3 linked regions of the Pelodiscus sinensis genome follow. The protein of the gene in region 3 interacts with the protein of the main gene of each other region in a pairwise test. Links are inferred from orthologs where the notes say so. Each region holds a gene or a part of one and is shown on either strand. Other genes may lie near its edges.

Evidence for each region.
Region 1: the proteins of TSGA10 (region 3) and ZNF410 interact in binary tests that used the Homo sapiens proteins (3 or more experiments, as listed by UniProt). The two-hybrid records come from large-scale screens. The link is inferred for Pelodiscus sinensis from reciprocal best matches to the Homo sapiens genes TSGA10 and ZNF410.
Region 2: the proteins of TSGA10 (region 3) and CDC73 interact in binary tests that used the Homo sapiens proteins (3 or more experiments, as listed by UniProt). The two-hybrid records come from large-scale screens. The link is inferred for Pelodiscus sinensis from reciprocal best matches to the Homo sapiens genes TSGA10 and CDC73.

What each region holds. Positions count from the first base shown.
Region 1 is NC_134714.1:45,158,295-45,166,145, forward strand, and holds the start of ZNF410 (zinc finger protein 410), read right to left. Parts: upstream 3,006-7,851; 5' UTR 2,643-3,005; exon of another isoform or gene 2,627-2,642; intron 1-2,626. Other genes in the region: FBXO33 (F-box only protein 33), read left to right, coding at 3,215-3,711. UniProt on the Homo sapiens protein: Transcription factor that binds to the sequence motif 5'-CATCCCATAATA-3', and is specifically required to silence expression of fetal hemoglobin in adult erythroid cells.
Region 2 is NC_134719.1:49,814,254-49,822,129, forward strand, and holds the start of CDC73 (parafibromin), read right to left. Parts: upstream 3,062-7,876; 5' UTR 2,848-3,061; coding exon 2,717-2,847; intron 1-2,716.
Region 3 is NC_134711.1:229,168,174-229,176,019, forward strand, and holds the start of TSGA10 (testis-specific gene 10 protein), read right to left. Parts: upstream 3,031-7,846; 5' UTR 2,853-3,030; coding exon 2,796-2,852; intron 2,706-2,795; exon of another isoform or gene 2,474-2,705; intron 1-2,473. UniProt on the Homo sapiens protein: Plays a role in spermatogenesis. When overexpressed, prevents nuclear localization of HIF1A.

The sequences.
Region 1 (7,851 bases), on a different chromosome or scaffold from region 3:
GCACAGAAGTTAACCTGACTGGTCTATAGTTTCCTGGGTTGTTTTTATTTCCATTTTTATAGATGGGCACTATATTTGCCCTTTTCCAGTCTTCTGGAATCTCTCCCGTCTTCCATGATTTTCCAAAGATGATAGCTAAAGGCTCAGATACCTCTTCTATCAGCTCCTTGAGTATTCTAGGATGCATTTCATCAGGCCCTGGTGACTTGCAGATATCTAACATTTCTAAGTGATTTTTAACTTGTTCTTTTTTAATTTTATCTTCTAAATCTACCCCCTTTCCACTAGCATCCACTATGTTAGGCATTCCTTCATCAGACTTCTCAGTGAAGACCAAAACAAAGAAATCATTAAGCATCTCTGCCATTTACAAGTTTCCTGTTACTGTTTCTCCCTTCTCACTGAGCAATGGGCCTACCCTGTCCTTGGTCTTCCTCTTGCTTCTAATATATTTATAGAATGTCTTCTTGTTTCCCTTTATGCCTGTAGCTAGTTTGAACTCATTTTGTGCCTTGGCCATTCTAATCTTGCCCCTGCATTCCTGTATTGTTTGCCTATATTCATCCTTTGTAACTTGTCCTAGTTTCCATTTTTTATGAGACTCCTTTTTTATTTTTAGATCATGCAAGATCTCCCAGTTAACCCAAGGCAGTCTTTTGCCATATTTTCTATCTTTCCTATGCAGTGGAATAGCTTGCTTTTGGGCCCTTAATAATGTCCCTTTGAAAAACTGCCAACTCTCTTCAGTTGTTTTTCCCCTCAGTCTTGCCTCCCATGGGACTTACCCACCAGCTCTCTGAGTTTACCAAAATCTGCCTTACTGAAATCCATTGTCTCTAATTTGCTGTTCTCCCTAACTTAAAGATGCACTGGACAAAATATCTCATGTAACATTAAAATTCCTAGGTTAAATCTGCTGGATATGTATATATTATTATGTTGCATGTTTCTTTCTTGTATGTGAAGCTAAAAATATGAAGTATGAAACTATAGTTTAAAAAGTGCTAATGAGAGCCATTACTGGTGCCTTCCACCTTTCCCTCCACAAACCTTAATGACCTGGTGATCAAGTTAACTACTAGTAAATAGCCTTGTTTGTACTTTAAGTTCTGAAGGTGGCTGGTCCTAGGAAAATATGTGACCATACCATGTGATACTGGGATCCATTTTTTAACTTGATATTTTTCCAGGGATGGGGAGGGGATGTAAAACAAAAGATTCCCGCCCTGTGGGAGAGTCTGTTTAAGCAATAGGAAGCTATCAGCCATTTGTCTTTGGCTGGCCTGGGGAATGGCCTGGCATGCAAAGAGGACTGGAGACCCAAGTCAGAGTAAAAGAGCTTGTCTCTGACTTGAAGATTATGCCTGAAATAAGAGAAGTCATTTATCTGCTTGTGATAAGTTTCTTAGTGAATTAGAATTGGCTATGTGTTTTCTTTTCATTCTAATTTAGTAACTCACTTTGATCTGTCTGTTATCACTCGCAACTACTAAAATCTTACTGTTAGTACTTAAAAACAGTTTTGTTTACTATCAGGCCTAGGGGAATAATTGTTACCCAGAGACAACAACCATTGTGCATATCTCTCGTTCATTGATAAAGAGGGTGAAAATCCTCATGAGTTTTCCCTGTTTAAAACTTTTACACTGAGAAAGACAGATTTATTTGGGGGTTTGAGCTATTTTGGGGGTTGATTTCCTGAGTGCTGTGCCCTAGAACTTCATCCTCCCAGAGTTGAAGTGATTTAGTGTCTGCATTGCTCTGCAGGAGGGCAGTTACCCCAACTCTGTGCTTTGTCTGGGGGAGACCAGAGGATCTGGCCTAGAGAACACGGTGGTGGGGAGCCCCAGAGAGCAAAAAAGTGGATGTCAATGGCATGATTGGCACACGGAGAACAATCCCAAGGGGACTTCTGTGACTGCACCTCCAGCACATCGTCTTTCAATATTTCCAAGATGCTGCCCATACTGTGGACTTGAACATCTCATGCAAAAGACTGAGGTCCAAAATCTTGGAGCTGGACCACTAGAACCATTAAGTTATCCAGTTAACTGATTAAATGGGGGCAGGTGGGGGAGCCGTTCCATCCTGCTGGGCTAGACTGCCCCCCCACCACCACCACCACAGCTGGACTGGAGCAAGGGCTGCTCCAGTCCAGCTGCTTAAAACCCCACACTGAGCTACTGGCTCTGAGCCTGTAAGCCTACACAGGTTGGGAGCTGGCAGCTCTTCCCCCTCCCACCCCATGCCCTGTGCGAGGCTGTGGAACTCCCAGCCCTTGTGGGCTAACAGTTAGCTATTACCATTAAAGGGTTATCTGTAAACAGTGATGCTTACCAGGTAACTGGTTAACCAGTTACCCGTTCAGATCCCTAATCACTATATGGGTCAGAAACCTGAAACCTCTTACAAGTAGATGGTGCAGTTAGATGCATTCCATATGCTCCAAATCTTGAGCATACAGTGATTCAATTTTATGCAAAATGCCATAACCTCACAGCTAACTGGCATTCCTTCAATCACTCACTACATTCAAAAGCAGTATTTTATGTTCTTCCACTTCTTCAGGATGAACAGAGACACCCCAACACACTATTTCTCCATCAATGTGCAAAAGGGTTCACACCTTGATCCTACCTGACCTTGCCTATGGAGCTGACTTGAAGATTGATGGATTTGCAGAATTGAGCCAGACCTGGGCATTTGACTTTGAGATCCCAGCTGTGATGCAACTTGGCCTGGTTGTTCTGAGTGGTGCCCTGTTCTGTTCCCCAGGGGAACGTGCCAGTTTGATGATCTCTCCCCACTCAAGACATGATTCTGGAGGGAGTTGCCTCCATCCCCCTGCCAGCTGCACCCCCCTCCCAGTTGTGCTTGATGGTATGTTCCATCCTCTTCCACAGCTGAGTCTAAAGGTAGTTTCCATTTCTCTCTCTGAGTGAGGTGGTCGGGAACTCTTCCCAAGGGGCTGAGTTGAGTTCTCTGGTAATTCCTTGCCCCTCTCCCTCTCCGGTCAATGGTAGCCTCCATAATCCCGCAAAGCTGAATACAGATATGGTGCCACCCCCGTCTTCCAGTTAGTTGGTAGGATCCATTCCCCTCCCCCCCCCGAACTCGGTGGTAGGTACTATCCTCCCCCCGCGGCCGGGTGCGGTGGTTTGCCCCGGCAGTAGCCGAGTCTCGGCCGGCCCCCACCCCCTCCGCCTTGTCATTGATGTTGTTGTTTTTGTCGCAGGAGGCGAGGCCGGGGCCGCGGCCTGGGGCTGCAGCAGCGGGGCTCGGGCCGGCGCCAGGCATGGCGGTGTGCGGGGAGGCGGTGGGCGCCGGCTCCCTGCCCAGCGAGCTGGTGGTTCACATCTTCTCGTTCCTGGCGGGCCCGGACCGGCTGCGGGCCTCGGCCGCCTGCTCGCACTGGCGGGAGTGTCTCTTCTACCCGGCCCTGTGGCCCCGGCTGCGCCTCAGCCTCTGCGTCTCTCCCGCCGAGCGCCCGCGCCTCGACTTCCTCATGCGCAAGTGCGGCTGGTTCGTGCGGGAGCTGCGCGTCCAGTTCGCCGCCGACAACTACCCCAGCGGTGGCGGCGGCGGCGGCGGGGGGGTCTGCGAGGGGGCGGCGGCCGAGGGGGAAACGCCGCTCTGCCCCCGCTGGCTGGACCTGCTGAGGACCTACCTGGAGCTGGTGCTGTGTGTGCTGAGCAGCGTCCGCAACAACAGGTACCGCGGGGCGCCCCGTCTTCTGGCCTGGCGCGCTCCCTGACTGGGGGAGGGGGACACATCTCTCGGGCTCAGCTCCTTCCCCGAGCCCGCTTGGCTTTCCCACCTGCCCCTTTCGCTGGGGGGATTTCCCTCCTGCCGGGCCTCTTCAGCCCACCCGCCCCGTCCTGGCCTTCTTCGCTGGGACATGTTAATAGGAACATCTTGCTCTGTACACAGGAAAGGAAGGATTGGGAGAAAGAGTTTGATTAGAAAAACTTCTTAAGGAAAGAAAATCCTGGAAACCAATTAGATTTCCCTTGAACTTGCTTTTAAATAAAGGGCATAATGGAGGCCACAATGAGGACTAGGTCACCTATTGTGTGTACTGATGCTTCATGAAGATAAATCGTTACACACCTGCCAATCGATAGCTCATGTACAACACGCTCCATATTCATAGGAACTGTGATTTGATGAGAGGTAACAATTCAGCGTGTAAAGCAAGCGTGTAAAGCATTGTCTTAAATGAAGCATTATTTGGCATCTCTGATATATAATGTCAATCACTTATTATAGTGCAAACTTGACAGTAAGTAAAACTTACGGTAATAATTTGCAAATTTAATGTCCTTGGAATTCTTAAACAGTGTTAGCCCATATAAACTAGCTTACACATACTTTGCATGGTATCATATTAGCTGTGGAATATAAATACAATGTAAAATATAGAAATAGATGAGCTGAGAATTTACATTAGCTTGTGGTAAAAATTTTTAAAAATCAACGTATAGATCTGCAGCACCTTAGAGACAAACAAAAAATATAGATGGTATCATGGGTTTTTGTGGCCGGTGGTACACAATAAAACAATTGGAGTTGTACAATAATTGCATTTTTATTTTAAGAAAAAAGAAATCACAAATCAAATGTATGATCAGAGCTATAAGTTTGCATTATGGTGTGTATAGCCCATTTTTTTTCAAAATACTTTGAATGTGCCTTCATAATTTATCCATGCATGAACAGACCCAACAGATAAGTTGTGCTACCTTGTGTAATTTTAAATTGTTCCTTCTACCACACTGTGATGTGAACTTGGTATTATAAAAAAAAGTATTAACTAAGTCTATCATAATAGCTGGGTTGCTGGACACTCAGTAATTTCTGAAACAGTTTGGTCTCTAAAAGAAGGAAGTTTATATTTAGTCAGAAACTATTAAAAGTGAGTGACTTGTAATTGTCCTTGGTCTTGGGAGATGCTGATGGTAAAGAGGAAAATCGGGTTCAATTGTTAAGGTGCTAGCTTAGAACTGGGGATTCCTTGGTTCAATTTGATGCTTTGCCACAGTCGTCTTTAGTGATCATGGACTCTGGTCTCTTTGGGCCTCAGTTCTCTTTGAAAAATTGTGATCATAGTGTAGTGATAGAAATGTAGCCGTGTTAGTCTGGGGTAGTTGAAGCAAAATGCAGGACAATGTAGCACTTTAAAGACTAACAAGATGGTTTATTAGATGATGAGCTTTCGTGGGCCAGACCCACTTCCTCAGATCAAATAGTGGAAGAAAGTAGTCACAACCGTATCCTTTGGTATATATGGTTGTGACTACTTTCTTCCACTATTTGATCTGAGGAAGTGGGTCTGGCCCACGAAAGCTCATCATCTAATAAACCATCTTGTTAGTCTTTAAAGTGCTACATTGTCCTGCATTTTGCTTGATCATAGTGTGTTATGCTTATAAGAAGTACATTGGGTCTTTTCAGGGGAAAAGCCAATATGCCACGTTTATTGAGAATATAATGGCAAAGCAATTAGCATATGCTTACATAGACAGACACATATACGCACGCTGTCCCACCAATCAGTGTTATATTTACCACTCCATGGTCTGTGCCCAGCCAGATTGATGACGGATGGAGGAGCGGGGGGGGGAGGGGTCTATCGGTCCAGACCAATGCTCCAGTCTTTGGCAAGACGTCCCTGCTCTTACGGCGAAACAGTTCTCCTTTTCCATCAGGATCAATGGGGTTTGCATCGTCATGGTGTTTTTCTGACATGTTTATTATATCCAGTTGTTTCTCTTGCTCCTTATCATTTTTGTTCTGCCATGCTAAGCTCATTTTGATCACTAATATTTTGTCCCAATTGATAAATGCTTGCCTTCTTTCAGAGCTGTCGATTTGCCCATTGCTTACATCTTGATGGGGATATGCAGCAATCTTCGGCATTTTTACGTCTGTTCTTGTTTTTTTCCTAGAACGTTTGGTATGGTGACCTTCGCACTTATCTCTCATACATTCCTCACTGTCTTACACATAACAAGGTTGATTTCTTTGCTACAGAGAAGCAATGTGCACATTTAAACAAGGAAATAAAATATATATTTTTTTAAAAAGTCACCCTTTTCACTTATTTCACAATACTAATTTTAAAACAAAAACAAAATTATCTGTGCCTTAGAATCAACTTTAGACACAATATTCTGGCTGGTGCACCTTTACAATAAAGGTAAGGTAAAAGGTCCTTTCTGCTTTCAGAAAGGGTGGCTGGCAAAGTACACTAAGTCACATTACTTAGCATAAAGCTACATTTTAGCTACATGGCTATAATAGTACAGGTTGAACCTCCCTGATCTGGCACCCTCTGGACCTGACTGGTGTAGAACTAGAGAATTTGCCATACCAGGGGAGACCAATGTTGTTTAGCAGCTTACTAACACTGCCACTGCATACTGGACTCTTAGAACACATTTAAGGATAAATTAGAACTAAATAGCAGCATGGAACACTGAGAGCCAGGACTGGTGGCTGTAAACAAACTTTATGGAACTGTGGGAAAGTTGGCCACATCCATAATAAGTGGATATCTGGCTAACTAAAATCATGATGGGCCACAGATGTTGCTGGACCAGAAAGTACCAGATTAGAGGTTCAACCTGTACTTCCTTACCTCACTGTAGTATGGCACACACACTTGGTATGGTAGCCATTAAAACAACTAAGACAGAAAAGAAAGAGACCATTAAGATGCTTCAGGATTCCCATCAATATCAGGAAAGGGTATGACTGGAAAGGGATCTAGTGATCAAAATGAAATTAAGAACCTTACTTCCACGCTAATATCCAATACAAAAAGCTATAAATGTTGTTGTGGGTATTTTAGCCTTCTTCAAACTGCAAATCAGTTTATCAGAAAAGTGGCTACAATGATGTGTAAAATTAGAACATGTTAGGGCTGTTATGCATCTGTGGCTTTGGGGAGAAATATTTGTTCCCCCCCATCTTTTGTCCTGGGTTGTAAATAGAGAGTAATGAAAATAATCCATGCTTGGTCTTAAACGAGTACATAATAGGCAGGTGAAATTATCTTCCTTTCAGTCCCTCCACTTTATTGCAGTTAGCTTAGAGACAGTTTCTGTGTGTTAGCTCTCAGCCATCTCACTGACAAAACTTACTTTCTAAAAACATCACTTCTGCTCCAGCTCTGAACTGAGGACCCTAACATTGATACCAGACCATTCATATTTTAGTACATGTTACTCCAGTCCTCCACTTGTCAACATTTCAGGGCTGTCTCACTCAATCATCTGTCTGCTGCTATCACTCTTTGTCAAACATCACTAAAAATTAGTCAAAAAATGTTATTGCATTTTAACACATTGGGTGACTAACTTGGCAACAATGTAATGTGGAGTGGATTCCAGTGTGCTGTATCCTAGTGAAAAGTTCTCATATACTGTGTAGCATTCACAGTATATCATTACTTTGAAAATCACTTCTTCGCTGTTGCTATCCCTTATTCCCCAAACACTTTATAACAAGTGCTTGTGTACTAAGAGTGAGCTTTTGCTATTCCAAATCTGTCTTTACTACTTTGCCAAACTACATTTTATATGCACTCTCTTCAAATTTGTGTATGCTTTAGATATTTTTTCAGCAAAGTGTTTACTTCTCTGTGCTACATGTTGATACGGCTATAATAAAACACATGTTTTATTTAGCTCTGTTTAATTAAAATGATAATAGTGTAAAAGTGCGTTGGCACTTCAAGGTCCCTTGACAAAAGAATCCTTGTCTTGTTGCTAAGGTACAATCGTGCCCACTCTAGGGGACACATCTCCTGTGAATCCTTTTTACATTTAACCATACCAATTTAGTTCA
Region 2 (7,876 bases), on a different chromosome or scaffold from region 3:
TTTAGGAGACTGTAGCCCAGGAACCCGCAACTTCCTAACCTGAGCCCACAGTTGCACTCCAAAAGCCCATGGACCCAGCCTGGATCCCTCTCCTGTACCCCAAATGCCTAATCTCCAGCCCCACCCCAGAGTCTACACCCCAAGCTAAATCCCACATCCTACCCAATCCTGAGCCCCTCCGACACTCCAAATCCCACAGACTGTCCATAGGCAGAATGAATTTTGTTTAGTGCACCAATATGGAGGTAATTTGTCATACATCATCTCCATATTGGTGCATGTAACAAATCATTCAACAAATGGACATCATAAATTAGAAGGAACACTAGTCCGGAGTTCAGGTTGGACAAACTAAAGAGAGTTTAAAGAAAATGACACAAGTTTTCAAAAATGTGACTTGTGAGGAAAAGTTTAAAAACTGGCTGAAGCCGGGCTTGATAAGTCTCCAAATATATTAAGATCTGTTATAGAGAGAACTGTGATCAATTGTTTTCCAGGTCACTGAAAGTAATAAAAGTAGTAATGGACCTAACCTTTAGCAAAAGAAATGTAGGTTAGATAGGCAGATAAACCTTCTAACTATATGAAAAATTAAAAACTGAGTCAGGCTTCTAAAGGAGGTTGCAGAACCCACATTATTCAGGGCTTCTATAAACAGGTTGGACAAACACCTATTAGGGATGGTCTAGACTTACTTGGTCCTGCCTCAGAACCTGGAACAAGACTAGATGACCTCTCAAGGACCCTTCCAGCCCTACATTTCTATGCTGTTAGTGTTATATACTGTCAGTAGTGTTACTGTCACAGACTGTCATAGCCTTGTTAAATTTTACTGGCTGCTTTCCAGGAAAACTCTGAGCAGGAGACACCCCCAAACTGTCTCCTTGTTTGCTCAAGACACCACTACAAATTTAATATCTGAAAAGATGTCTAAAGCAACCACTCTTTCCCTTAACTAGGAATTATCTATTTTAGGAGAATTTATGAGGGAGGGAGGGAGCGAGGAGGGGGGAGAGAGAGAGAGAGAGAGAGAAAGTGCAACTCAAGCAGATTTTTTAACACATTAAAAGAAGGATAATAAATTTCAATCGGTTACACGTTTAAATGCTCTGCAGGCTGCCAGACCTGCGGATTCCTGACCATGGCCAGGAGATTAACTGATAAGATAATGCTTACCCATTAATCTGTTAAACTCTTATATCCCTAGCTTAAAGCAAGGGCCCACAAAGTGAGGTGTGCACTGACTACATATAACATTGACTGTGAAAGTCGTGCACTCCTTCTGCATCCAATCAAAGCAGTGCTATGATTCTGTCACCCCCCTCCCTCCCTGAATTCTAGGTATGTAAAAGTAGTTTTTCTAACTGCACTATCCTGGGAGACTGTTTTCGTTTCAACAGTCTGAAGGAAGACCGCTCATGTGGCCCACTCACTAGCCTGTGTTGCCCACCATTGCACTATGATGGTTACTTTTGAATTCTGAAAGTTTGGGCCACCACTATTAGAGAATTCTTGACCTCTAGTCATGTAGCTGACAAATTTAATGTTCTTTCCCTAATTCAGAAGATCTTTACTTCCCCTTTCCCTTCGTATGGAGCTCCCTTTGATCTCCAGCTCGGCAAACTAATTTGGTTAAAAAGCTGGCAAATTAAATGCTATGTTTAACTGATTAACCCTAAAGCAGGCCCCTCCATCTGCAGCATGCAAGTGGCCCACCCAGATTAGAGCAGCCCCTCTCCTGCAGCCGTGTAGTATTGTCAGGCTACAAAATGTTCTAACATTTTGATAACACTTTTAAAAACAGACACACGCTGTATCTGGGGAGTTATTTGAATTGTGAACACACTTGTTTACAATAGGTTATCTCCTAGAAAAGTTGACAGACTATTTTAGTCTTACAGCAAGGAGAACGCTCCACTAAGGATAGATCTATATGGCCTAATAAATTGCAGTGATGCCCCCAAAACTGAGCAAAGATCCAGGGGTGATCATTTTCTCTCTGGATCCAACTGCACATACCACACAAGGAGAAGAGGAGAGTCTGGAAACAAAGTCTCATGAAAAGGTAACTAACAAAATGAGCAAAGAATACAGAAACCTTAGGGTTATTTCCTCCTACTGAAAGGAAGTAACAAGCATCTTAGAAGCTGTTTTATTACCAATCTTCTAGTTAAGTCAGAAAAAGACAACGCTCGGGCCAGCCACCAGCCCTCATCTATAACGTGCCCTCATTAGTGCAGATGTGTAAAACCCGAACACCCGAAATGGACATAACTCTCTGGCTAACTCCCCTGGCAGTTTTCCTCCCGGAGGCTAGATCGGCTCTCTCCGGCTGGCTGAATCTCCGAGCTGGAAAAGCCGAGTGAGTTGAAATGAGGGGGACAGACCAGCGAGAGGCGCGACCCTCCGCGAAGAGGTACAGCCACACGCCCACCCCAGCCGGGACACCCTCCTCCCTGCACCAGAAAACAAGGGGCCGCGTCCAGCTGCGGGCCCCCGGGAGCTGCAGGAGAAACTACAAACAAACAAACCAGCCGCGGCCGGCGGGGGGAGGCCGGCGGGCTCCGGCACATAGCAGAGCCCGCCGCGCAGACGGGACCCCCGAAGGGCCGCCTCCCCCGCCCCCACTCACGCCTCCCCGCTCAGCGGTAGCAACTTCGGGCAGCTTCCACCCCCTGCCCGCAGGCGGGGCCCCTGCCGCGGCCGCGCGACTCACCCCCAGATGACATAGTTGGTCTTGACATTCTTGGGCCAGGAGAACTCGCCGAAGATCACCTCGTCCCCCTTCACCACGATCTCCTTCTTCTGCGTGTTGTACTGCCGCAGCACGCTCAGCACGTCCGCCATCTTCGCGCCGGCCGCCGCCGCTCCGCCCGGCTCGGCCCCTCAGCCAGCCGCGCGAGGACCCCGCCGCCACCGCCAGGGCCCCTCCGGGCTGCCCTTGCCGAACGCCTGCGCGCAGCCGCCCCGAAGGCCTGTATGCCCCGCCCCCGCCGCGCGCAGCCTGTGGCGAGGGTGACCCTCGGCGTCTGGTCGGGCCTAGTCTGCTCCGCCCCCGCTTCTTTAAGCCCCGTCCCGCGTGGCCTGAGCCGCGGCAGATCTGGCACTTGCCGCGAGTCCTCTGGGCAGCGGCTCTGATCATTGGGCGAGTGAGTGGAGCGATAGCCCAGTGTGCCCGGGGCGGGGCGGGGCGGTGGGAGCAGGAGGAGCCGGGCCCAGCTCAGTGAGGTGGGAGGGCTCAGGAGGTTCTGTGAGCGCAGGCGTGGGGCTCAGGCAATGCGGGGCGCGGTCCCGGGTGGAGCAGGGCTCAGGTGAGCAGCCACGCCAAGTGGCTTGGGACTGCCCAGGTGCGTGGTGATGCCAGGTGGCTCAGGCAATATGGCTCGGGCTATGCACTCCCTGCCTCTGCCCGTCCTCTAAGCCCCGCCACAGGTGTTGCCCTCCCTCTGCTCCCCCCCCCTTCATCCCCCATATGGCATCTCCATCTCTAGGGGTTTTTAAGTCTTGGCTTGACAAAGCCCTGGCTGGGATGATTTGGTTGGGGTTGGTCCTGCTTTGGGTAGGGGGCTGGACTCAGTGACCTCCTGAGGTCTCTTCCAGACCTAGGATTCAAAAATCATGACTCAGCCTCACCAAAAATCCATGAGATTGGCTTTAACATTTCTAGGTGATGTAAAAATAATAGCTATTTATTTGCCTTCTGCATTCTGAGTCTTTCAGGTGCATTGTGATCACCTTTGCAGCTTTCTTCACAGCCACAAGGGCTAGAAACTTATTTTTTCTTTAAGATTAAAGGCTGAAATCTCATATCCACTTGACTGAAGGAACTGGGGTGTTAAGGAGACAAATAATTAGCATGAGACTCATGATAGAAGGGAACACTTCACAGCCCCATGGGCCTGCACAGCATAGGGTTACCACTTTCAAATATTAACAAAAAGTGTTCCATAATCACCATCACAAAGCAAAGCTGTCATAATCCTAACTACAAGGTAACTCTGCACCCCATCCCCCTTCAACAGCCATGTATAATATGTAGAGAGATAATACATATAAATAAGACTGTTTTCAATTATATCAAACAGGCATTGGTTTTATCATCACATTTTGCCAACTAGCCTTTGTAGTTTCAATTAGCAAGTTGTCACTGAATGTGCAGTTTCTGATGCAAGCTTTTTGGGGAGGATTCAGTAGGGTCACATGACCCATTATAGGGCTCTTCCATTATTATGCCTTGCACATCTCCTCATTCTCACTTTCTCATGTTACTATAACCCTCTCACATACATATGTGCGGCACACTTGGATGTTGGTGAGCAGAAAGCTGCTGTACTCAGGGCCATTCGTACACATATGCTAAATACGCAACTTCATAGGGCACCAGAAAATGGGTGGCATCATTGGGTTTAATATCCATTCTACCCACCTCTTCCTATTCTTGATCTGTGGCTCTGAGTCTCCTTCCAGAGAAGATATACTTAACTTAAAAGTGAAAAGGCTTGCCAGACTTATTAGCAGAATATTGAACCTTTGAAAGAGCCATTCAAGTGGTAATGAAACCATTTAGTAGGCATATATTGTCAGTTTCTGAATGTACTGTGTTAGACTTGGCCATGTCTACGTTACAAGATAAGGTTGAATTTATTAAGGTTGATTTCTTACCACCTGATTTTGTAAAGTCGAAGATCCATGTACCCACTGTGTGCAAGAATTCAATATATTTAAAAGTAGCATGTCCCCATTAGGAAGACTGTCATTGACTTTGAGAGTGATACACTTTGGGTAGCTATCCCACAGTGCCTGTGCCATTTCACAGTCTGAGTTATGCTCCCAGTGCACTCTGGATCAAAACTGTGTAGCAGGTGGTTCTGGGTTCATGTTAGCAGCCTCTCATAATGCACTCATCTGCTTACTCCCCTCCCTTGCTTGAGATCAATAGGAAGCAGGAAGTGGGGGGGCAGAGGCTGGAGCCATGCTGGCAGCAGCTAATAGCTTCCTCTCCTTCCTCCAGGTTGCTACGTTAGATATCAGTCTCTCTCTGAATCACACAGAGCAACAGGGAGCACATGCTGACTAAATGTGGCCAGAAACCTGGGCCTTATGCTGTCATACTTTATACTGCAATGATGCCAAACCATTTTCTGGTGGCTTGGCATGGGAACATATCCTACTGTCAGGAGCAGCCCTAGACAGCAACTGGTGCCCTACGTGAAGTGTGCGATTGGCTCACAATCAGCGCGCGATCGGCGCCCCCGCCTCCAGAGCCCTCAACAGCCATTTATCTTGATGCCCTAGGCGACTGCCTAGTTCGCCTGTATTGACGGGCCACCACTGCCTACTGTGGAGGACAGGATAAGGCAGTCCTCGGAAACCTTGTGAGAAGGATCAAATATTTCCCGTGGAGAAAAACAGGGAGGAGTCCTGTTCCATTTCCAGACAATTTAAACAGACTCTTCTAGGCTCCCTACGCTATGCCACACATCACACCCATTACCTTAACTCTCTTGTAGCAAGAAAAAAATGTGAAGATACCAGAAATGCCCAAATGTGAGATGTCCTGGAAGGAGGGGATTGTGTTTGAGGTTATAAAAAATTTTTCTCTCATATCACCGACAGGCTAGCTAATCTCCTCCTCCTCCTCCTCCAGCACCAAACTGTCCTCCACACTGCTGCCCCGAGTGTCTTGGAAGGATTCTATGGTCTGTGTGACAGATTATGTCTGGGCGCGAGCTCCCACCCCTGCATTAGGGTGGGGCCCAGCGAGTCCACCGTCTTGAAACCCGGGGTCTGGCAGTTAGACAGGCACGAGCTCTCCAACTCACCTCCTTTTGGGGTTGAGCGGGGCCCAGTGAGCCCTGCGGTCAAGGAATCACATGGTCCTTCAACCCCCTACCGGGGCCAGCTGTCTATAATTACATCTCACTGGGGCGGCTGCCCTCATGACCTCAAGTAGGATTATGCATTTGCTATGCGAGGTAATAAGGTGGGGTTAGGGGAACCCGGGCCCGCCCCCTCCACCAGGTCCCAGCCCGGGGCCCTATGGGGTTCGGGTACTACCTTTACTCAGCTGACGGTGTCCCACCCCGTAACACATCAGCACACGGGCGCCAAAAGAGCGCCTTGTACGCCGGGACTTACCATTCCAATGCGAGCCCTGGTTTTCCGGGGTCCCAGCCTCCTGACTCCAACAGGGGGGAAGGAATTGCTTCCCCGCGGTCCTCCCCCAGGTTCTGCCTCCTGGGCGGCTTTTGAACCTCCCGCCGGAGGTCACGTCACTCTGTGCAGTTTGTCAGGCCGAAGGGGGTGGGGTTATGTCCCCGGTCTGGGGTGCCACGGACTGCCCCCCACCACTGACTGCCACTGTCTCCTGAGGTGCGGGAGTCCCGCCCCCCATGGGGTTCGGCGCAGGCTGCTTGGCCGCGCCCTGCCGCCGGGGCCGGAATCAGCACCCGGCTGGTTTCAGTGTGGGCCTTCACTGGCCCGTAACACACCTCCCGCCTTGGAGGCTCTTGGCACTCCCCCTCGTCGCTGTCCCATATTCTTGAAAAAAGTGTGCATTCTGGTGCCTATTGCCGGGGCGGTAGCTTACCTCTAAGTCACATGGCTGCAAGGCTAAATACCATCCCATAATATGCATGTGTGTGTCTTTCATAGAGTTGAGCCAGACTAACGGGGCTTGGTCTGCTATTAATTGGAATTTACTTCCCCATAAATAGTACCATAGGAACTCCACTGCCCATTTTACAGCTAATGCTTCTTTCTCCACCGTAGCGTAATTTTGCTCCCGGGGCAGGAGTTTCCGGCTCACATATAGAAGTGGGTGTTCAGCCCCTTGGTGTTCCTGCGCCAGCACCACTCCTAGTCCTACTTGGGAAGCGTCTGTGTAAAGAAGAAAAGGTTTTTCAAACTCCGGCTGTATTAATACCGGCGCACTAGACAAGTGTTTTTTTAATGTCTCAAAGGCCTGTTCTACTTGCGGGGTCCATTGCACCCGTGTGAGTTTTGTGTTTTGTGGTTTTTGTGAGCTTTGTCAGTGGTGCCGCTGTTGTGGCAAAGGCGGGGATGAATCTCTTATAATAGTGGCCAGTCCTAGGAACTCTCACCTGCTTCTTTGACTTCAGGGCTGTGTATATTTTCTAGGGCCTGCATTTTACTCACCAGGGGTTTCAACTCTCTCCTCCCCCCATGCCCCACGGTGTACCCCAAGTACGATACCTCTGTTTTGGCTAGGTGGCACTTCTTTGGGTTCGCCGTCAGGCCCACTTTTCCCAGAGCTGCCAGTATGGTTTCAACATGGCGTAGGTGGTCTGCCCAGCTGCTGCTGTAGATGATGATGCTGTAGATGGCGGCAAAGGCTCAGTACGGGGCCAGCAGCTGGTCCATCACTCGCTGGGAGGTGGCCACTGCCCCATGGAAACTGAAGGACATCATCCTGAACTGGAATAGCCCGAACAGGGTGGAAAACGCTGTTTTATCTCTGACTTCTGGCTCCAGGGGGATTTGCCAGAACCCCTTTGTTAGGTCGAGGGTGGATAAATACTTGGCGTGTCCTAACTGATCCAGGAACTCATCAACGTGAGGCATCGGATAGGCATCGAAACGAGATATAGCATTAACTCACTGAAAGTCGATGTAACGCTGAGTGGTTCCATCAGGGCACCAGGACAATGGGGCTACACCACTCGCTTTGCAATTCCTCGATCACGCCCCTTTGTCGCATCAGCTGTACTTCGTCTCATACCGTCTTCCACATTTTACGTGGCAGGGGTCGAAGTGGCTCTTGTACCATCTGGCCCACTTCGGTGATTATCCAGTGGCACCCCAAAGATGTGCGGCCCGGTCTTGTTGTGAGCACCGCTCCGTATCGGCGAAGGAG
Region 3 (7,846 bases):
ACAGTAGTTCGAATTAGGAGCTTTAATTCGAACTACCTAGCCCGTGCTGCGTGTAGCCGCGGGCAGGTAGTTCAAATTACTGGGCATTTAAAAATGGTGGTGTCTGGGAACATGCAAATGAAGCCCAGGATATTTAAATCCCGGGCTTCATTTGCAAGTTCGAATGACTACATTAGCCACCCTAGTTCGAACTAGGGTGGCTAGTGTACACATACCCTGATGTTATTTCAGAGTAACAAAGTGCACATATACACAGCAAGCCGTTATTTCAAAATAATTTTGGGATGGAGGACTTCTTACTCGGACTCCTGTAACACCCATTTCATGAGGAGTATGAGAAGTCAAAATTGAAAGAAGAACGTTTTTCCTTTGACTTCCTGCTGTGCCAAAGACCAAATTAAGCTATTTCTACTTCAGCTATACAATTGACTGCAGTGTAGTTGTGCCCTAAAAGCCCAAAAGTCTATTTGTGCAGCTCCACCTACCAACTGGAATAGTACTGAAATAACCACTACATCTAGTCCTGAAAAATCAAAACTATCTTGTCCATTAGACTGTAAACTCTTCAGGGCAGAGGCTATCACTGTGAGGCCTCGTTGGCTTTATGGCATCACCACAATAAACAAGATTATTAGTAATGAATCATTAGTAATAAGCCCAAGGATCTCAAAACATACAACAAACTCTTTGAGGCAGTAGTGGGTAGATTATTATAATTTTATAGGACGACAAATTTAGTAGAGAACCAGCTCTACAGAGTCAAATTATTAGAAACGTTTTTGTAATAAAAAATGGCAAAACTGACCACATGTATTCAGCATTTTAAACAAACTAAAAAATAAGACAAATGCTAGTAATTAAGGCTACATCTATGTCAGCGGGAGGCATAAGGATCTTGCTCAAAAGGGTTTTTCTGCGCAAAAAGGAGCCATCTACACAGTGCTTTTTGCACAAAAACCGCCTGCACAAAAGGAATCCGAGGAGGAAATGCAAACGAGAGTGTGATATATGCAAATGAGTGCTCCATTTGCAGTTCCTCCTGCTGAGGAGGATCATAGTTTAGACATAGCCTAAGAGTTTGAGTCTACTCCAATTAAATTTGAATTTCCCCAGTACCGTATTTTCCGGCGTATAAGGCGACTGGGCGTATAAGACGATCCCCTAATTTTTTAGTTAAAAGATAGGGTTTCGTCTTATACCCCAGCGCCCCTCCACCTCCTTTGCTCCCGGTGTCCCTGGTCTGCTGGAGACGGTCCCCAGCAGACCAGAGGCACCGGGAGCAAAGCCGCAACAGCGGCGGGGTCCCGCGCCTCTGAGGCTTTGCCAGAGCAAAGCCTCAGAAGCGCGGCACCCCGCCGCCGCTTCGGCTTTGCCCCTGGTGCCTCTGGTCTGCTGGGGACCGTCTCCAGCAGACCAGGGACACCGGGAGCAAAGCCTCTGAGGATGCCCCGGCAGCGGGACAGCCCCGGCGCGCCTGGGCTGCCCCGCCGCCGGAGCCCCTCCGCGGCTTTGCAAAGCCTCGGGGGAAGCCGGCGGCGGGGCATCCCAGGCGCGCCTGAGCTGCCCCGCCGCCGGAGCCCCTCCGCGGCTTTGCAAAGCCGCATACCCGGCGTATAAGACGACCCCCGATTTTGGGGGGATGTTTTTTAACATCAAAAGTCGTCTTATACGCCGGAAAATACGGTAATTTCAAAGAAACAGGATTGCGCTATAAAAATGAATGGGGTAAATTGGTTCAGTTAAAAAAAGTGGTCATGCTTTGGAAGAAAATGTAATGATACACTTTATATCACAGACAATACACATGCACCCTGATTGCCTAGTAATGAGCACATAAAAATAAAAATCAGTTACTGAATGTAAAAATAAATAGTATTTATCACAAATTGCAATGAAAGATATTAGATGTAAAATACTGTATAAGGGTTAGAGTCTGCTGCTATAAAAAAATTAGAAATCACTGGATCCAGCCATGAAAAAAGCAAAACTAGCCTTTCACATGTTAAAAGTATCTAACAAAGCCTGGATAAATTTGCTTTTAGCTATTTCTTTCTAAACTTCTAGATCAGATCTATTGGGGGGGGAGGGGCACGACAAAACATAAGTGATGCTTTCATAGTCCCTTACTGAAACTTCCTAACTTATTCATTGCGGGAAACATTCTATCTATCCACTGTCTTGAGAAAGTAACTAGACCAGAAGGTCTTGCTGCAATAACCTTTCGGGATTCTCTTTGCCTGAGCCGCTGTGGGTGACTGGAGGGGGACAGAGATTAACCAGTAAATAAAATAACTTTTCTCCATCCTGATCACTGTTACGGTGAGCAAGCAGCTCTCGTGCCCGTGCTACTATATTCTGAAATTTCTGCAAACCCCGTGCAGATTTGGCCATGGCTTGGTGGGGGGGGGGGGGTGTTAAAGCGAACTCCACTGTCTGCATAGAAGAGGCCGTACAGTAAAGACAAGGCGCTTACCCATCGTTGTCTAGCCACACAGGACGCTACGGGCACTCAAAGCCCAACGTCTCTCCATGCCCCCTGCCTAGAGTCAAGCCGTCACCATGGTGATTGCGGGGCTACCCCGCGCCTCGCTTCCCCAGGCGGCGCGGGAGCAAAGGCTGTTGCCCCCTCCCCGCGCGCTCTGGGAACCCGCCCCGCGCCGGGTCTTACAGGAGAGGGCAGGTGGGGGAGGGGCGAGGGGGGGTCTTCCCAGCGCAGGCGGCGCCTCCCCCCACCCCCGCGCAGCGCAGGGCGGGTCCCCGGCTCCCCCCCCCATCCGGGGAGGGGGGGTCTGTACCTGTGGGGCACGCGCCGCTTTCCTCCTCCTGCGCCCCGGGGACTTTCTGGCGCTCATGGCGGCGGCGGCTCCCCCGGCTCTGGCCGGACTCCGCCGCCCCCTCGCACTTACCCGCCTCGCCGCCCGCCTCTCCCGCTCCCGCCCGGCAGCCCAATCAGAGAGCCCCGCAGCCACCCGGGCCGGGGGGGGGGGGCAACTGCTCAGAGAGCTCCCCCACCTGCCCCGGGCTGCGACCAGCCGCCCCTCGGAGCCACCGGCTCCCCCCACCCCCTGCGCCTCTGCTGTTACCTGCTGCATTAACCCCCTCGCTGCCCTGCGCTCCTCTCCCGGCCCCCGCCCCGTTCTAAGCCGCGCGCTCCATCCCCCCCAACCGTCGCTCGCGCACACAGCGGGTTGTGAGGCGCGCGCTAGCCCCGTGCCCTTCAGCCTCTCGTGCGGGCAGCGTCGCTGCAGAGCCGGGCGCCAATGGCTATGTATAGCCCCCCTTTGCAGAGCCAGGGAGCTCGCTGCGGCCCCGGTAATGCACGGGATGGGGCGGGGGGGGGCAGAACCCCAGCCTCAGAGCCCCACGCACAATTGCACCTGCGGTCTCGGGGCTGCGGGGAGCTGCCCAGGGAGTTTCCACCGCAGCATGAATCCCCTTCGCTCTGCGCTCTGGCCAGCGCCCGCGCGGCTGAAGATGAGACGCGCTTTTGGTTTCAAAGGCAATTCCTTAATGCCCTGAGAGCCGCCTGCTGCGATTGACTTGAATGTGCCGAGCCTAGGGGCGGGGGAGAGCTGGATACTGTTATGTCGGTCATTTGAGAGTCAGCTCTCCCCCGCCCTCCCCGAAATAACCGCCAGAAGTTTACAAAATCAAGAGATGCTTTTGATGCCCACCTGGAGATGAGACCGTGGCTCTGATAGTCCCTCCCTGCCCCCGCAACTAAGCTCCCTCTCTTGGCATTTATCTCACCTGGTGCATGGGACTCACCGCTGCACTTGTGGAGGAGCGATACTGAAAATAGTTATCAAAGCAAGAGCTGGTTCATCAGAACAGCCTATGCTCAACGCTCACAGCCTGAAGGAATTGAAACGTGCCTGTGGAGCAAGAGCAGGTAAAAGGGTCAGTGGTAAGAGGGCAGTGGCCAGTGCATCTGACATTGATCGCTGATGGAATACAGGATACATGAGGCTAGGTCAGTGGTTCTCACACCACTTCCCGCGGCTCCCCTTGGCTGAAAAGGAAACAATGGGAGCTGCGAGGCTCCGTGGCTGTAGCACCTGTACATAAACCGGAAAGGCCAATTAAAGTGTTTCCATGGTACACTTTCAGAAACACTGGTCTAGATGGTGCTTGGTCCTGCTGTGAGGGCAGAGGATTGGACTGGATGACTTCTCAAGGTCTCTTCCAGTTCTAGTATTTTATGAGTTTATGACCCCAAGTACACTGGGAGAAAAATCTCTTCCAGATCCTGCAGGTGGCCAGCTGAAACTCTGAGGCATGAGCTTTTAGGAACATAAGACAAACTGGAAATGAGTCCCAGGCTCTCAATGCTGTGGAGCCCTGCCCCCTACCATCAGAGGTGTTAAGGGACAAGAAGATTTGTCATTCCCCGGGACCTCTTGCACCATTAACGCCTGCCATTGTCCAGAAAAAGTGTGAAGGTGGCATTCCTGACAAACTTCTTTGAAGATTACAAGAGCTGAGCTGATGGAGAATGGGAAAGACTTGCACCATCTCTTCCTCCAACAGGTTTTAGCACAGGGAGTTTGTATCCAGGACATTCTGCATGGCAAACTGTTTGCCGCTAGCCACCACCGAGCATCTGTATAAACACATACCTGTATTTAGACAGAGACAATTCCCCCCTGGGGATTAGGAGCTAGCAGCATCTTTGAAAAACAACTCCACCCACAAAGCATGGGCGAAGCCTGAGCAACTATACCTCAAGAATCCTCCAGGCAGTATCAGGAACACTCTTCCTCTCTTTGTTTTCATCTCTGACAGGTTAGCATCAATAAATTGCTTTTTATCTCTGTCGCAGCAGAAAGTATAGGATAAGAAAATCTGTATTATCTAACACAATATCTAGTCTCCAAAATAGAAATGAAATTACAGGACATGATTTCATATCCTTCCGTGAAATTCTTCACTATGAAAAATTCATTTGTAGGGGAAATATCTTTTATCTGTGCTTTATTCTTGAACTTTTGATTTTTTTTTCTCTTAAGTGAAATCCAACTAAAATGAGTATCTCTTAAAGGAACAGTGCTAATAAAGAATGCATTTTCTGTGCACCAACCAAAATGTGAGGAAATGGAGACTGGACACTATACAGAAGAGTGTTTTCCGAAGGAGAAGAGGTGACAGCAGCACTTTTGAAAGATAGGAAAGACAGAGATGGTGTGATTAGCTGTGATCTGTGAGGATTAGGAAGCAGGAGGATAGAAATGAGTGTAGATAGAGCATCAGTTAGGCAGAGATGCTTTTGTTTACAGAGGAGATGGAACATAGTGATGGCTTTGACCTCACCTTCCTGTATGAAGACTGCATTAAAAGAGAGAGAGAACTTCATACAAAGTCCAGTTCCTACTAAATGATGACAAGAGAGAGAGAAATACTGTGTGCACTTTATAATTGCAGAAGGAATTCATAGATACTATTTGATAGGAGTTTGCTCCCCACATTGGTCCAAAATAGCCCCAATTTGGCAACTTTTGTAGATGGTCTGCAGAATACATTTATTGGAGAGACTGTTTGGAAAGGACTTGAGGGCATGCTTCCCAGATTGATGAAGAGGGTTTTTTTTGTAGGTTATATTATTATTTTAAAGATGTTGGGGTTGGTTTGTTTTTTGGTTGTATTAGTTGTGTTAGGACACTGAAAGCTTTTTATAAGTATATTATTTTATGTAAATATTATTTTCATATTGTGGAATACCCACCTTACATCTTGTATATACATACACACACCCTACACCCCCTCGCCAATTGTGGGTACAAGTGACAGAAATGAGGTTCTTTGCAGGGTGGCTGGACTTACTATCCAAGATAGAGTGAGGAGCGCAGTTATTTGGGAGGCCCTAGGAGTAGAGCTGCTATTCCTTCAGACTGAGAGAAGCTAGTTGATGTGGTTTGGGCACCTGATAAGGATGCCATCTAGGAGGCTTCCGTTGGAACTCTACTAGTCACATCCCATTGGGCAGAGGCCTCAAGGCTAACCCATGACATACTGGAGGGATAATATTTCTAGCCTGAGAATTCTGGGGAATCTCTCTGGGTATGTCTACACTACCACCCTAGTTCGCACTAGGTTGGTTAATGTAGTCATACGGAGTTGCAAATGAAGCCCGGGATTTGAATTTCCCGGGCTTCATTTGCATGATCCCGGCCGGCGCCATTTTTAAATGCAGGCTAGTTCGGACTGCGTGCCGCGCGACTACACGCGGCACAAACTAGCTAGTTCGGATTAGGCTTCCTAATCCGAACTAGCTGTATGCCTCGTGGAATGAGGTGTACAGCTAGTTCAGATTAGGAAGACTAATCCGAACTAGCTAGTTTGTGCCGCATGTAGTCGCGCGGCACACAGTCCGAACTAGCCTGCATTTAAAAATGGCGCCGGCCGGGATCATGCAAATGAAGCCCGGGAAATTCAAATCCCGGGCTTCATTTGCAACTCCGTATGACTACATTAACCACCCTAGTGCGAACTAGGCGGGTAGTGTAGACATACCCTCTGGGAAGAGCTGGAACCTGTTAGGGAGGAAAACGAGATAAGGACCTCCCTACTCTCTATTCAGCCACTATGACCCTGACCAGGAAAAGCAGCATAAAGAAAAATAATATTTTTTATTTAAATATAGATAGATAAAAACTTACACAGATAAACAGATAACATTAGTGGTAGGAGAGATTGAAAGGGTACTCTTTTACATAGGAGGTCAAAAAAGAGTGAGGCCCTTAGATCGAAAACAGTACGGGAATACTAATACTAATATATATTAGTGACTTTCCAAATTAAGAAGATTGTAAATTTCTCAGAGCACTTAGTGAAGAAGGTATTCTTAATATTAATATGTCTATTGGCATATAGATATGTTGGTGCTCCTTTCAAAGCAGAAAGGATATGGGACACTATCCTGGGGGGCTAATAAATAAGGCCCAATCCTTAAATTGATCCCTATAATGGGGTGGTCAACCACACTGGTGAACAAGGGGTTGAACATCCAATGAGGGGGATGCTTGAGGCAGCAATGAGAGCTCTGCTGGCCTGTATAAAAAGACAGCTGGCCTGAGGGAGCTCACTCTGCCCTGGCCTGCACTAGGGAGTTATTTTGAAATAACCCCCTTATTTTGAAATAATAAGCAGAGTGTCCACACTACTCAGCCCGTTATTTTGAAATAACGGATTGGTTATTTCAAAATCTGTGCTCCTGCTTTCCATGGGGAATGTTTATTTTGAAACAGTTAGTTTGAAATAGCGTTAGGCTGTGTCCAGACTCCATGCCTCCGTCGACGGAGGCATGTAGATTAGCCAGCTCGGAAGAGGGAAATGAAGCCGCGATTAAAATAATCGCGGCTTCATTTAAATTTAAATGGCTGCCCCGATCTGCCGATCAGCTGTTTGTCGGCAGATCGGGAGAGTCTGGACGCGATGCCCCGACAAAGAAGCCTTTCTTCATCGACACAGGTAAGCCTCGTGAAACCAGGTTTACCTGTGTCGATGAAGAAAGGCTTCTTTGTCGGGGCATCGCGTCCAGACTCTCCCGATCTGCCGACAAACAGCTGATCGGCAGATCGGGGCAGCCATTTAAATTTAAATGAAGCCGCGATTATTTTAATCGCGGCTTCATTTCCCTCTTCCGAGCTGGCTAATCTACATGCCTCCGTCGACGGAGGCATGGAGTCTGGACACAGCCTTAGTGTGGACGCTCCGCTGCTGCTATTTCGAAATAACTACTCCCCAGAGAAATTCAAAGTAATTACTCCCCGGTGCTTCCTGGGGCTCTTAGTCAATGTAGGGCATCCACAATAGTCTGCCTTGGACTAATTTTGAGGCTCCCTGTAGT